Mytilus edulis: one gene and its partners. The protein of the gene in region 1 binds, or shares a complex with, the protein of each later gene. Links are inferred from orthologs where the notes say so. Each region holds a gene or a part of one and is shown in the gene's direction. Other genes may lie near its edges.

Region 1 (3,761 bases):
ATGGCCGAACTAACCGTGAAGAGCCCTATTACGACACTTTAATGAAAGGTAAAGTGTACATTTCACGTTTACAACTGGTAACCAGCCAGTTCCTAATCGAACGCACCCAATAACTGAATAGTCATGCAATCTTGTTTTAAATAGTGGTTTGATAGGCGGAAAGGAAAGTTTACAGAGGTGTAGCAGCGTTAAAAAGTACTTTTTGCTTTCTTCAACCTTTCCTCTAATTAAAATCAACATTAGGTTATATATATATTCTTCTCAGTCTTACATTTTATAATGATCCGCTTTTCAGATCTACATCATGTCAGCAGCTTACAAACACTTCACTTTTTTAACTAATCCTGCTTTCTAATCTGCTACGGGGTTGGTTTTTTTTTAGGGCAAAAGACTGAGGACTTGAGATTACTTCTTTGACACAAAGCAGGAATATATGTGTTGTTAGGCAGCAACCATTTGAAATTCTTGGGGGGGGGGGGGGATATGTTTTTTTTTCTGGACAATTTTTTTTTCTCGCCTCTGGCGAAAAAAACAATCTATTTTTTTCGCGACAAGTCGAAAACAATTTTTTTCTTTCAATTTTAGCATTACATATAGTGGCAGCTGAGGGTGAAACAAACAATTTTTTTTTCTCAGAATCAAAAACAAATTATTTTTTTCTCCAAAAACTGGAAACAAACTTTTTTTTCCAAAAAAAACCATAGCCGCCCCCCCCCCCCTCCCCCCCCCCCCCCCCCCACCCCCCCACCCCCAGAAAATCAAATGGTTGCTGCCTTAGATAAACTGTTCTCAGCACCGGGTATAACAAATGTTGACATGCATGATGCTAATCTTCTACGTTCACTATATTCGGTACAAATAACGACTTTTAACTGAGTAACTATTCACTATTTATACTGGGAACGCGGACCTCAAAGAAAGCACCATAGCAACAACTATACTAAAACGCGAACCTCGAAGAGCGCATGCAAGTAATAACTGTACTGGTAAAGCGTCATACATCAACTCTTTTTATGCTGTTTTTTAACGATTGAAAAATCAAATGGGATGATTCATAAAGATGTCAGAAAATACATATAAGTATAGAAATGTTATAACATTCATAAACTGGATCCGCCTATGCGTTGGCACCGTTACGGGTATGTGAACTCTGATCAGTGTTTATAGAATCATTTTTAAAATGTTGCCATTGATAACATAGAAATCATCACTTTCAAGTTGAACAAAAATAAAAAAGGTTTTGCCTCTTCAATTTACATAATTAAGTTAATAAAATTGTGACGAACTGTTTGATGCAGCTTTAATAAGACAAAAAACCATTGAATCATATTTGATTTAATGTATTATTACTTGTCAATGTATAACGACTAACTATCGTAAACCAAAAAAATAAATCTCTCTGCAAACCAAAAATACATGTCTTATAAAACATGATTTTGTCGTCAATGAAAACCGAAATTGCCTATTATCTATAAATTTTGATTACTGATCATTAAATGCAAATAAAATTAAATTGAAAATGATTTGAATATTGGGATAAACAAGCAAACAATTTAGTACATTTCGTTCTTCTTTTATATTCAGGTTCACAACCATACCATAAATGCGCCGGCAAATTCGTAGAAATTTCGATTCAGAAAATGGTACCAATTTAGCATTTAACTGGCCTATTTGTACATGAATTTATGTTTTAGCTTCTTTATTAAGAACAAGAAATGTTTTGTACTTGTTAAAGTAAACTATTCAATTGAAAACTCACAATTTTAGAGAGAGTTTCCAACGACAACACTGTCGTCCGAAACGGGCATGAAGTATTTGTTACTGGACGTTCAGGAAACCTCAATTAATCAATTCAACATTGTCCAATGTATGCAACACATGGTTGGCAAAGTATTACCCGCCCTGGAAAACCCAGGCGGGAAAAACCAGATTTTCCTGGGCTAGGCAATAGGGTATCAGGTCTGTTCGCGCCCAATACATTTTGGCACCCTACACGTACCAGGGGTGTGGAAATGCTATGCCCGACTCGTACATTTGAACAACCGGACAAGTAATTATTTTTGTCTTGGTTGCCCATGGACAAGTAAAAAAATATACAAAACAAAGTTCAATTCCAACAAAAATATAAAATTGATTTCAAAACGTATAAAAATGTTTAATTTATGTAAAAGAAACCAATGGTCAGCAAGTAAAAACATCAATGTTCATGACGATAAACATTACATAATACCGGAAATAGATTGATTACCAAAATAAATTAAAATAAGTATACGAACCGGAGTCACGTAAAATTGCATTGGCTTTGTCCATTGAGCCGGAATCATCAATTAGGTTTTATCCATCATTTACCGGAAGTGTCATTTCTTTCAATTTTGTATAATATTACAATTCAGATTGATAAACACTTAATAAAAAGCAGGGCAAGTAAGACAAAAAGAGTAATGAGTCGAGTAGAAAACCTTAAACGCAAATGGAGAACACAGAGTATTTAAAATATAAAAAAACAGAGAATTTCAGCCATTGTGGATATCAGTTTGCCGCTGGCTATCTAGGATGGAAATTCGCAAAATAAATTAAGTTTTTGTCTTATTTATTGATGAAAGGTCAATATTATGTGTTGTCGAAGTTTCAAATTAGAAGGGACTCTTTAATTGCTCATCAAGACAATAATAAATAATCTAGAACAAGAGTGTCAGTTTAGAGAAACACCACAACATCAATAGTTTAACTATTATTTACTAGTTTGCATTTCTTCAATTACTGTCCACTCCTCAAATTGAGTATATGTACCAACTGGCTACAATCTTTATTCAAAAACTGCTGCAAAATTGTCCTTTACATGTTGTTCATTGGTTGGTTTGCTGTTAGATTTCTGTCCCATTGATGTTAACCAATTTCTTACTTTCCTAATTTTTTTTTACACATATAGACAAATGGATTTCATTTGTTTGTCAGGCACAACAGTGCTTAGTAAGAATCACATATTAGCTAACAAGAAATACTTCAATATTTATTAGGATCATCAGGGCAAGTAACTTTTTTTCCGGACAGGTAAAATTTATAGTTTTACTTGCCCAGGGACAAGTGCTTACAACAAATATTTCCACACCCCTGCGTACGCACCTGGCATGTTCGCATCAAAGGTCTGTTCGCACCCTACACGTTCGCACCCAATTTAAAATCAAAGTCCAGTTGTCTTGAATAATTAGAATATCATGATTGTTGTTTTAAATTGCTTACATACATACATTTTGTAGTGTGAAATAAAGTATTTAATTGTTTAAATTTGAAATGCTTTGCAATCATATTGCTAAATAAACACCCGACAGGGTCATGTCATTAATACTTATAAAAATGAAAAGGCTGATTATTGTTATGTAAACATATCTGTGTCTAATCTGAATAATTACTTATTAATTAGTGATGTACATATACATGTTATAGATTTTGTAGAGAATTATTGAGAAAGGCTTTTTTCATTAATATTTGCCTAATATCACGAATGTGTCTTCATGTACACCTTTCTCATACATTGTAGTTGCTGAAATAATGCTTTCTCAAATGTATACACTTGTATTATAAGAATCTCAAACAAGTTAACTTATTTATAAACAAAATATGTTTATAAATATTTTAAATGTATTGCATTTGTGTTTAATCACTGCCCAGTGTTACCATGTAAAACCCAGTAAAACCTGGGTTTTCCCAGTATTTCCCACTGGGCTGGGCAATACTCTTTTGCCAACCTTAATGCAACATAC
Region 2 (3,761 bases), on another chromosome or scaffold:
TTGATTTTATACTACAATCCATAAAAGCGCATGGTAAATGAACGAAAACACAAAAAAAAAGTATTAATAAGATTTTATCGTGCACAAAAACTCCAAACATGAAGAAGAAAAATTAAGCACATTCCTCTCTACAGAAGAGGATCCAGACATTTTTCATTGGATTGTTACCAATGTGAATTGTTAAAAAGTTTCAAATGGTTTTACTGATCAAGTTAAGCTCATGAAGGTAGTCCTTACGCAAATGGTTTCGTATGACTTACAAAATATTTTCCAATTTTATTTTATTAGATTTTTGCAAGCTAAATTATCAACGATTATATCAAACTTAGTGTATATTGTTGTAACAAGTGCTTGAGTTGTCCACTGAATCTGACCCATTCAGTGTTGTTTGTAAAAACATTTCAGACAGTAACCCGAGCACACTATTTGAACTTTCCCATTTGTTTTTAAAACGCATTGAGCATACCAATCGGATAAATATACATAGTTTGTGTGCATGCTTTTCTTACAAGCGAATTGTGAACACATGATTTGTATTTTAATCAGATTAGTCAGACAATCCTAAAAATAACTAGATGTTAAAATAATCAAGCTTGTCGCATACACCTTATCGCTATTTGTCCGCCATTGCTGGAAATCACACAGGTTCCCGTAAAATTTTGACGTCATAAAACAAAATGATTGACGCCACAATGGAAAAGTGATTGTTGTTGACGTCAAAAGTTCAAGCGGACGGGTCAGCCGGGAATAGCGATAAGGTGTATTAAGATAGTCAGTAAAATCTAATTTTATAAGTTTGTTGCAAATATTTTTGGCTCAGTATATATTAGGTGTTTGGAATTATTGTAAGCCCTGTAATGGGTACACTATCTGTCTGACAGAGTTTCTATGACCTAGACCTTATTTTCAGAAGATAATGTCCATTCGGTCTATTTTTATATCATATTGTTATGTGGTTTTCAGATTTATCAACTCTTTCGTTTACCTCCCTTTCTCGTTTCCGGTTTTATTTTTGCCGGCAACGAAATTTGCACGTTTTGAAAATGTCACAGAAACCACAACAGCAGGTAATAACTGTTTTATTAAGATTCCGAATTCACACGACAAAAACTGAATGAGACATAAATTAGTGTATACCGATGTTTCTGAATTTCGTAAAAAAAAAAAAAACCAGTGTTGCACTGATGTCAGTGTTGGTAAAAATATTTTTTTACTCATTAAAGATTTTTTTTATTTCCTTTTTAGCTTTCAGATAGAGATAGAGACAGAGAAAAGAAAAAGAAAGAAACTATTCTTGACTTATCTAAATACTTAGATAAACCCATCAGAGTCAAATTTAGTGGAGGTAGAGAAGGTAACTAAAATTGTAAAATATGTTCTACCTCGTTATTCTCGTTCGAACATAAACTATTTCTCTTTCTAAATGAATGCTTGTCAATTCGTTCCAAGTCCGATTCGTTCCAAGCCAGTTCGTTCCAGATTTGGACAATTTGTACCAAGTCAATTGTCAATTCGTTCCAACTGATTTATTTCATTATTTATCAGATTAAACAATGTGTTCCACCTGATTAAGTTCATTATTAAATCAGACTTAACAATTTGTTCCAACTTTTTTATAATGTATATGTCCGTATATCACTGTATTTGTGTAATTCAACCTACAGTGCACAGCAAAAATCAGCAATTCCTTGTCCATTTTTTCTGCATTTTTCATATAAAAGATCGTTTTTCAATAACATATGTTCATCCTAACAGTTCATAGATAATCGTTCAATAGTCTTTCACATATTTCATTTTGCTGGTCAACGGATGGCACAATGATAAGTGCAACTGGGTAACTGTAATTTGCTGTCTTCTACTTCTACTTCTATGTGGTTAATCTGCAGTCGGAAATTCCATAACGCAAATATACTGTCTTCTATAGCTGTCCCAAAGCTCCATCATCTTGGACTGTGATCTGTTTGTGGCTACTTACTTTTTTTCAGTTTCGTATGTAAGGACACTGAGTAAATTTTAATATTGTAAAAAATACACAACCAGTGCTAATGAGTAGTAACGATGCACGCAAGAAAAACATAGCAAATGTGGTATGTCAGCCCATCAATTATTATTGACAAGCGTTTATGACCCAAGATAAGTACGATATTATTCTTTTGATGAATGCATTAACAACTGTTATGCGCACATCATTGAAATACAATAATCAATTATAATGATAACGATTTCTTTGAAAATATCACTTGTTAGTCACTTTATTCATATTTAAAATATTAAATTTGTCATGAAAAACTTACCTTAATAATTAATAATTATCAATATATATCATGCCCAATATATCGTTCTTCCCAATTAATAAACCATAGAATATTTTTAGATACGTATTGATATTAATTTTTTATCAGTACAGCATTAAAAATTAAAATATTAAGGCTATTTAAATGGTTAATATTGTTTAATACTGTTCTTGAATAAGTTGGAACGAACTGACCAAGCAACTTGGGACGAATTTGTTGGTACGAATCAAAGTTGGAACAAATCATCCAGATACCTTCAAAATACATGTATACCTTGCAATTGAATATTAAAGTCCTTACATCATGCCTCATTATATTATCTATATAATCATCTCAAACTGTTCATACTAATATCTACAAAAAGAAAATACAAAGAACTAGGATTTATTCAAAGCATAATATTACAATCTAAATGTAATAAAGTTGTTGAAAAAGTTTGATGTATCCCAGAACTCCCATATAACGTCAATTCCGGTGAATATAAAATATTCAAATCAGTGATATTTAATAGACCTGAATTTCCAGAACGTTCGATTTACATTATCCGGAAATTCAGATCTGTCAAATTTTACAGTGTTTAATATTTTATACTCTTTGGTAATGACATATTTTGGTAGTTCTGAGATATCATGTTGTAAGCAAAATAAATATTTGTCCACCTCAAATGGAATTGTATCTTATTTTATCAATAAAAAATTTCTGGAAATATTTTGCACCAATATTGGCAATAAGCACAAAAAAGGAAGACTTTGTAACTACCGGTATGTACAAATTTCTAGCCGGCAATGAAAATTTCATGTCAAAATTAGCCTAGGTCGCAAAGTTTCCCCCCAAATTTGCTCTCAAAGTCCAGATGTTAAAAGTGGATTCAGCGTTATGACGTCGTAGCAAGGCGTCTCAGAAAAAAAATAAAATAGCCTTGCCAGACGTCATAATTATTTGGACTAGCCTAAATACTAACCTTTAAAGGAGCAAATCCATTATCATACATGTAGTACATGTAGCTATAAAGGCCATTGGATTTATGGTATCAGGTCCGTTCGCACCCAATATACTTTCTTACCCTACATGTTAGCACCTCACATGTTCACCCCCTAAGCAGTCAGGGGACTTACTGAAATAAGTGATTTTTAAATCACTTATTTGAGTAGCAAATTCGAAGTTTTGTCACAAATTGTGATTTTGTAGTTTTACCAAAATTTGAAACACATAGGTTTAAAAAATATCTTTTCATTAGTTAAATTGAAAAAAATGAATTTTTTGCTTCTTTTAAGTATCAAGGTTTATGCCTTTGATGCTATCATTTAGCTGCAAATTATATTTTAGTTGAAAAAATGCTATAATAATGGCTTTACATAATGAACTGATACTTTCTTAAAAGATTTTTCCCAGCAGTGGGAGTATTTTTCCTGTGAAGTTCAAGGTTTCATCTTTCAGATTATGTAATAAAATTCTACTGTTCGCGAT
Region 3 (3,761 bases), on another chromosome or scaffold:
GCTTATTTACCTTATGTAAGATCAAATACCATTATTAACACTTCTTACTGTATATTTGTTTTCGGTGGTAGCCGTGACTCAAGTTATCAAGGAGTGATAGTGAATATTTTTTCTACATTATGCATAGATCAAGGCCAAATCTAGGTTGACTTTAAGCATGTTAAGCCATGATTTGTTTACTAGTATATGGTTATGGTAATTTAGTGCACCGATTTTGAACCTGTATGTTGGCTGCAAATTAGGAGTGGCTATAAATGCAATATGATTTTGTTTAGATTAAAATGCCGTGGCACGAGTAAAGCCACCATGTTTTAACTAGTTTCAAAATCACTATAGTAATATTTCATTGATACAATTTTAAAATCTCTCTGCCTTAAGAAAACGGTCACGTTACACAGACCACGTACGTAACGGGTATATGGATGGTATTTGAATCTATGATCATGTATCGCCATCAGTTTGATAATAAAATAGCTGAAATTTATCTGTCAATACTTTTGGGGCATGCAGACCTAGCCTGAATGTTAGCTATAGTCGGTCATTAGTAGCGAAGACATATACTATGTTAGTTTGTCTATGTTTGTAATGGGAACAGTAGGCTATATCTAATTATACTTTTGTTCCTGGTATTAAAATAAGCTTTTGTTTAGATAAAGAAAATCTGAATAAGGTGTTTTGTGTCAAACTGATTTATCTTACCATTACGACCATTTTACAATAAGAAAAGATAACATGTAGACTTTATAGTGAATCTATAGCATGCGCCGGAAAGTAAACATCAGTACGTTGATGGTTTTCTGTAACAAAAGAAGAGAAGAGAAGAAGATAGTGAATGTACAGTAACACAGCCAAATGTTGAAAAAGAAAAAAAATAATACCAGGCTACCTTGGGTTGTACAAGTCAAGTTTAATACTTCTATATATATGCTTATATTACTATTTTTTATGTGAATTGAACAATTCTTATACACTCCCTTTTTTTCTACTCATATTTGTTTAAGTAAAAAAAAAAAGCGTGTGTAAATTTCAATTATACGGAAGTCCGTCTGATTTAACTTAGCTTTACCCAACTTAAAAGTACGTAAAGGGAGATAATAAAAAGCCGACAACATGTCGTATTCAGAAAAACCAAATAACACTAACAATCCCGTTGTTTTCTTTGATATTTCCATTGGAAACACAGTACGTATGATCATTTGAATATCTTCAATACACAATTACACGCGACCGACATGTTATGGTTTAAATAGAACATAGTGACGATTTTAGAAAAAAAAGGGGGGGGGGGGGTAAAACTTATTTTGGCGGAATTTTTTTATGGAGGCGGTGTTCTAAAACAACAAAAAATAACACGGGGAGGTGAATGGGCACTCTTTATATGCATAGACGTGTCATGGATTACTCTTTGTTTAATGTATCCTTTTTCAGGCTTAAACATTTGAGGTTTTCATTTATGATTCTTGTTCTTTGGCTTTGCTGTTAGCATTTATAGGGGATGAACTTGAAGTATGATTGCCAAGGAGACAACTATCACAGTTATTAGTATTCAAAATATGAGCATTTTCACACTATGACTATAATCTTAGTTTATCATAACAAATATTATATGGCTGTATTATATTTACACCTCAAAAACTACTCTGTGTACAGACTTACCTGTCCAGTTGGAAATGTTTTAATGCCTGGCATCCACTATATAGATATATGAAAATTAAATGCATTTTTCATTTCAGAAAGATTAAATCTTTTTTTTGTGTTTTAATGGGCATTTTTTTTCATTCCTGCACAAGGTATAAAAATAAACGAAGTGATTTTACAACTTGGAGATGTTCCCTCTCAGGTATAAACAACTCTTTTTTTTATTTAAATTGATTGTCATGGACAATAGAAATCTACACAACTATAGGTGAGTTAAAGGGTGTAATTGAGTGGACAGTATCAAATGCAATTCAGGTGGTTTTTTTACACCTTCTGCAGGAAGGGAAAAAAATGCCCATCAAAATCCAGGAATGATTTATTTTTCTGAATCACAAAATGCGTCTAAATCTTAAATATCTAGTGGATGCCAGGCATTAAAAACTTCCAAACAGCACAGGTAAGTCTGTACACAAGAGTAGTGTTTGAGGTGTAAATACGGCCATATTTGTCCATTTGTTACAGTCAGGGGTACTACTTGTACAAGTGTATTTTATTTACTTAAAGAAGTGAAAAAAAATATACACATATAAGTAAATAAATAATGTTTGAATAATCTCCCCTTAATTTTCTGAAAAATTTACTTGTATAAGTAAATTTTTCTTACAATCCAACAAATATCCTCAAGTTTTGAGATGTAAAATCATGCCTTTAAAATTTTTTCCCAGGTTTGCTCAATTTTTTTCATTAAAGATCAATGTTTCATCTCATTAATTCATCAAAGAAACTGATTGAGCAAAGATCTTGTATATTTGCGCAAGGCCTTCAAAAATTGCTCCTTTGGGGCTTGTAAATGAGCAGTGTTAAGAAGATAACAAACAAATGGGACTTTCATTGTCCATGAAATTACACTTAAATGATTAGTAAAGACATCTGTAAAGGGTACACAATTTAAAATTCTATTAGAGCAAAGAAATCTTAAGAATTCAAGAAAAGAAGAAAGGATGATTTTTTTACTTATACAAGTAAAAAATTCTGAATGCCTAAGGGACATAACTAAGCCAATTTTTTTTTTACCTATACAAGTAAATAAAATTCACTTGTATAAGTATCCTACAAATTTACTTATATGTGTATATTTTTTTTTACTTCTTCAAGTAAATAAAATACACTTGTATAAGTAGTACCCCTGACTGTGTTATGACGAATCTAATTCAAAGAAAAAAATTACAAACCTCTATATTTATATTTAATGATAGTTTGATCTGTACTACATTTGTAAGTACTAAAGTATAGACTATAAAATTTTAAAAAGGCACTAACATCATGAACATGAAAATGGAAACAATTCAAATGAGAAAACTAACAGCCTAATTTATAACAGAACCATTTATGAAAAACAACTATGCCAGACTATGAGCTATCTACAACCACTGAAGTACCATGACTACAGGTTTTTGACATAGAACAAGCACATAGAAATGATAGAGAAGCGGTGGGGTTAACCATATTTTTGTAGGCTCTCATTTTTCCTCTAACCTTGGACAGGGATGTGACATCACAATAATAGAACAAACTTTAAATACCAGTTGCTTGTCTTAAATTATGGTTCCAAGGATCAAAATAACAATAGATACCAAACACCGGATATGAAAACAAGGAATTGTATAAAAACATAGAGTATCTCAGAGCTCCAGATAAGCTGCATATTTGCGTGATCACGCAATAAAAATTATTAAAAACCCAATGCAATTGCCCATTGCAGGGTTCAATAACCCAATTAATTCAAAGGAAAACCCAATTATATGCCAAAACCATGAGTTTTTAACGCTTTTACTCGCTATCATTTGTGTTATTTAACCTTATCTGATCACAGTCGTAGCGTAAATCTATTTTATAATATTTATAATTGGAAAAATTCTATCGTTCTAAAAATAGAAGTTTTTCGAATTGCTCGGGACTTATCATAACATACAATGATTTAAAACGAAAGTAAATGTCCGCATGTTTTCATCTTCTTTCTTTTTGATAGCTTAGGGAAAGTTATGATAATAACAAAACTCAGCTAGTGTTTTTATGAAGCATCCATCAAACACACGTGCGTGTTTGCATACCTTAACGAGAAC

Evidence for each region.
Region 2: U6 snRNA-associated Sm-like protein LSm4 (region 1) and U6 snRNA-associated Sm-like protein LSm7 share a complex: the UniProt entries of both Homo sapiens proteins name them as parts of the precatalytic spliceosome. The link is inferred for Mytilus edulis from reciprocal best matches to the Homo sapiens genes LSM4 and LSM7.
Region 3: U6 snRNA-associated Sm-like protein LSm4 (region 1) and peptidyl-prolyl cis-trans isomerase H-like share a complex: the UniProt entries of both Homo sapiens proteins name them as parts of the U4/U6-U5 tri-snRNP complex. The link is inferred for Mytilus edulis from reciprocal best matches to the Homo sapiens genes LSM4 and PPIH.

Annotation. Positions count from the first base shown.
Region 1 is NC_092344.1:91,103,643-91,107,403, forward strand, and holds the start of U6 snRNA-associated Sm-like protein LSm4, read left to right. Parts: upstream 1-1,527; 5' UTR 1,528-1,640; coding exon 1,641-1,643; intron 1,644-3,761. UniProt on the Homo sapiens protein: Plays a role in pre-mRNA splicing as component of the U4/U6-U5 tri-snRNP complex that is involved in spliceosome assembly, and as component of the precatalytic spliceosome (spliceosome B complex).
Region 2 is NC_092347.1:82,007,589-82,011,349, reverse strand, and holds the start of U6 snRNA-associated Sm-like protein LSm7, read left to right. Parts: upstream 1-936; 5' UTR 937-950; coding exon 951-1,067; intron 1,068-1,245; coding exon 1,246-1,354; intron 1,355-3,761. UniProt on the Homo sapiens protein: Plays a role in pre-mRNA splicing as component of the U4/U6-U5 tri-snRNP complex that is involved in spliceosome assembly, and as component of the precatalytic spliceosome (spliceosome B complex).
Region 3 is NC_092356.1:36,867,310-36,871,070, forward strand, and holds the start of peptidyl-prolyl cis-trans isomerase H-like, read left to right. Parts: upstream 1-1,070; 5' UTR 1,071-1,110; coding exon 1,111-1,182; intron 1,183-3,761. UniProt on the Homo sapiens protein: PPIase that catalyzes the cis-trans isomerization of proline imidic peptide bonds in oligopeptides and may therefore assist protein folding. Participates in pre-mRNA splicing.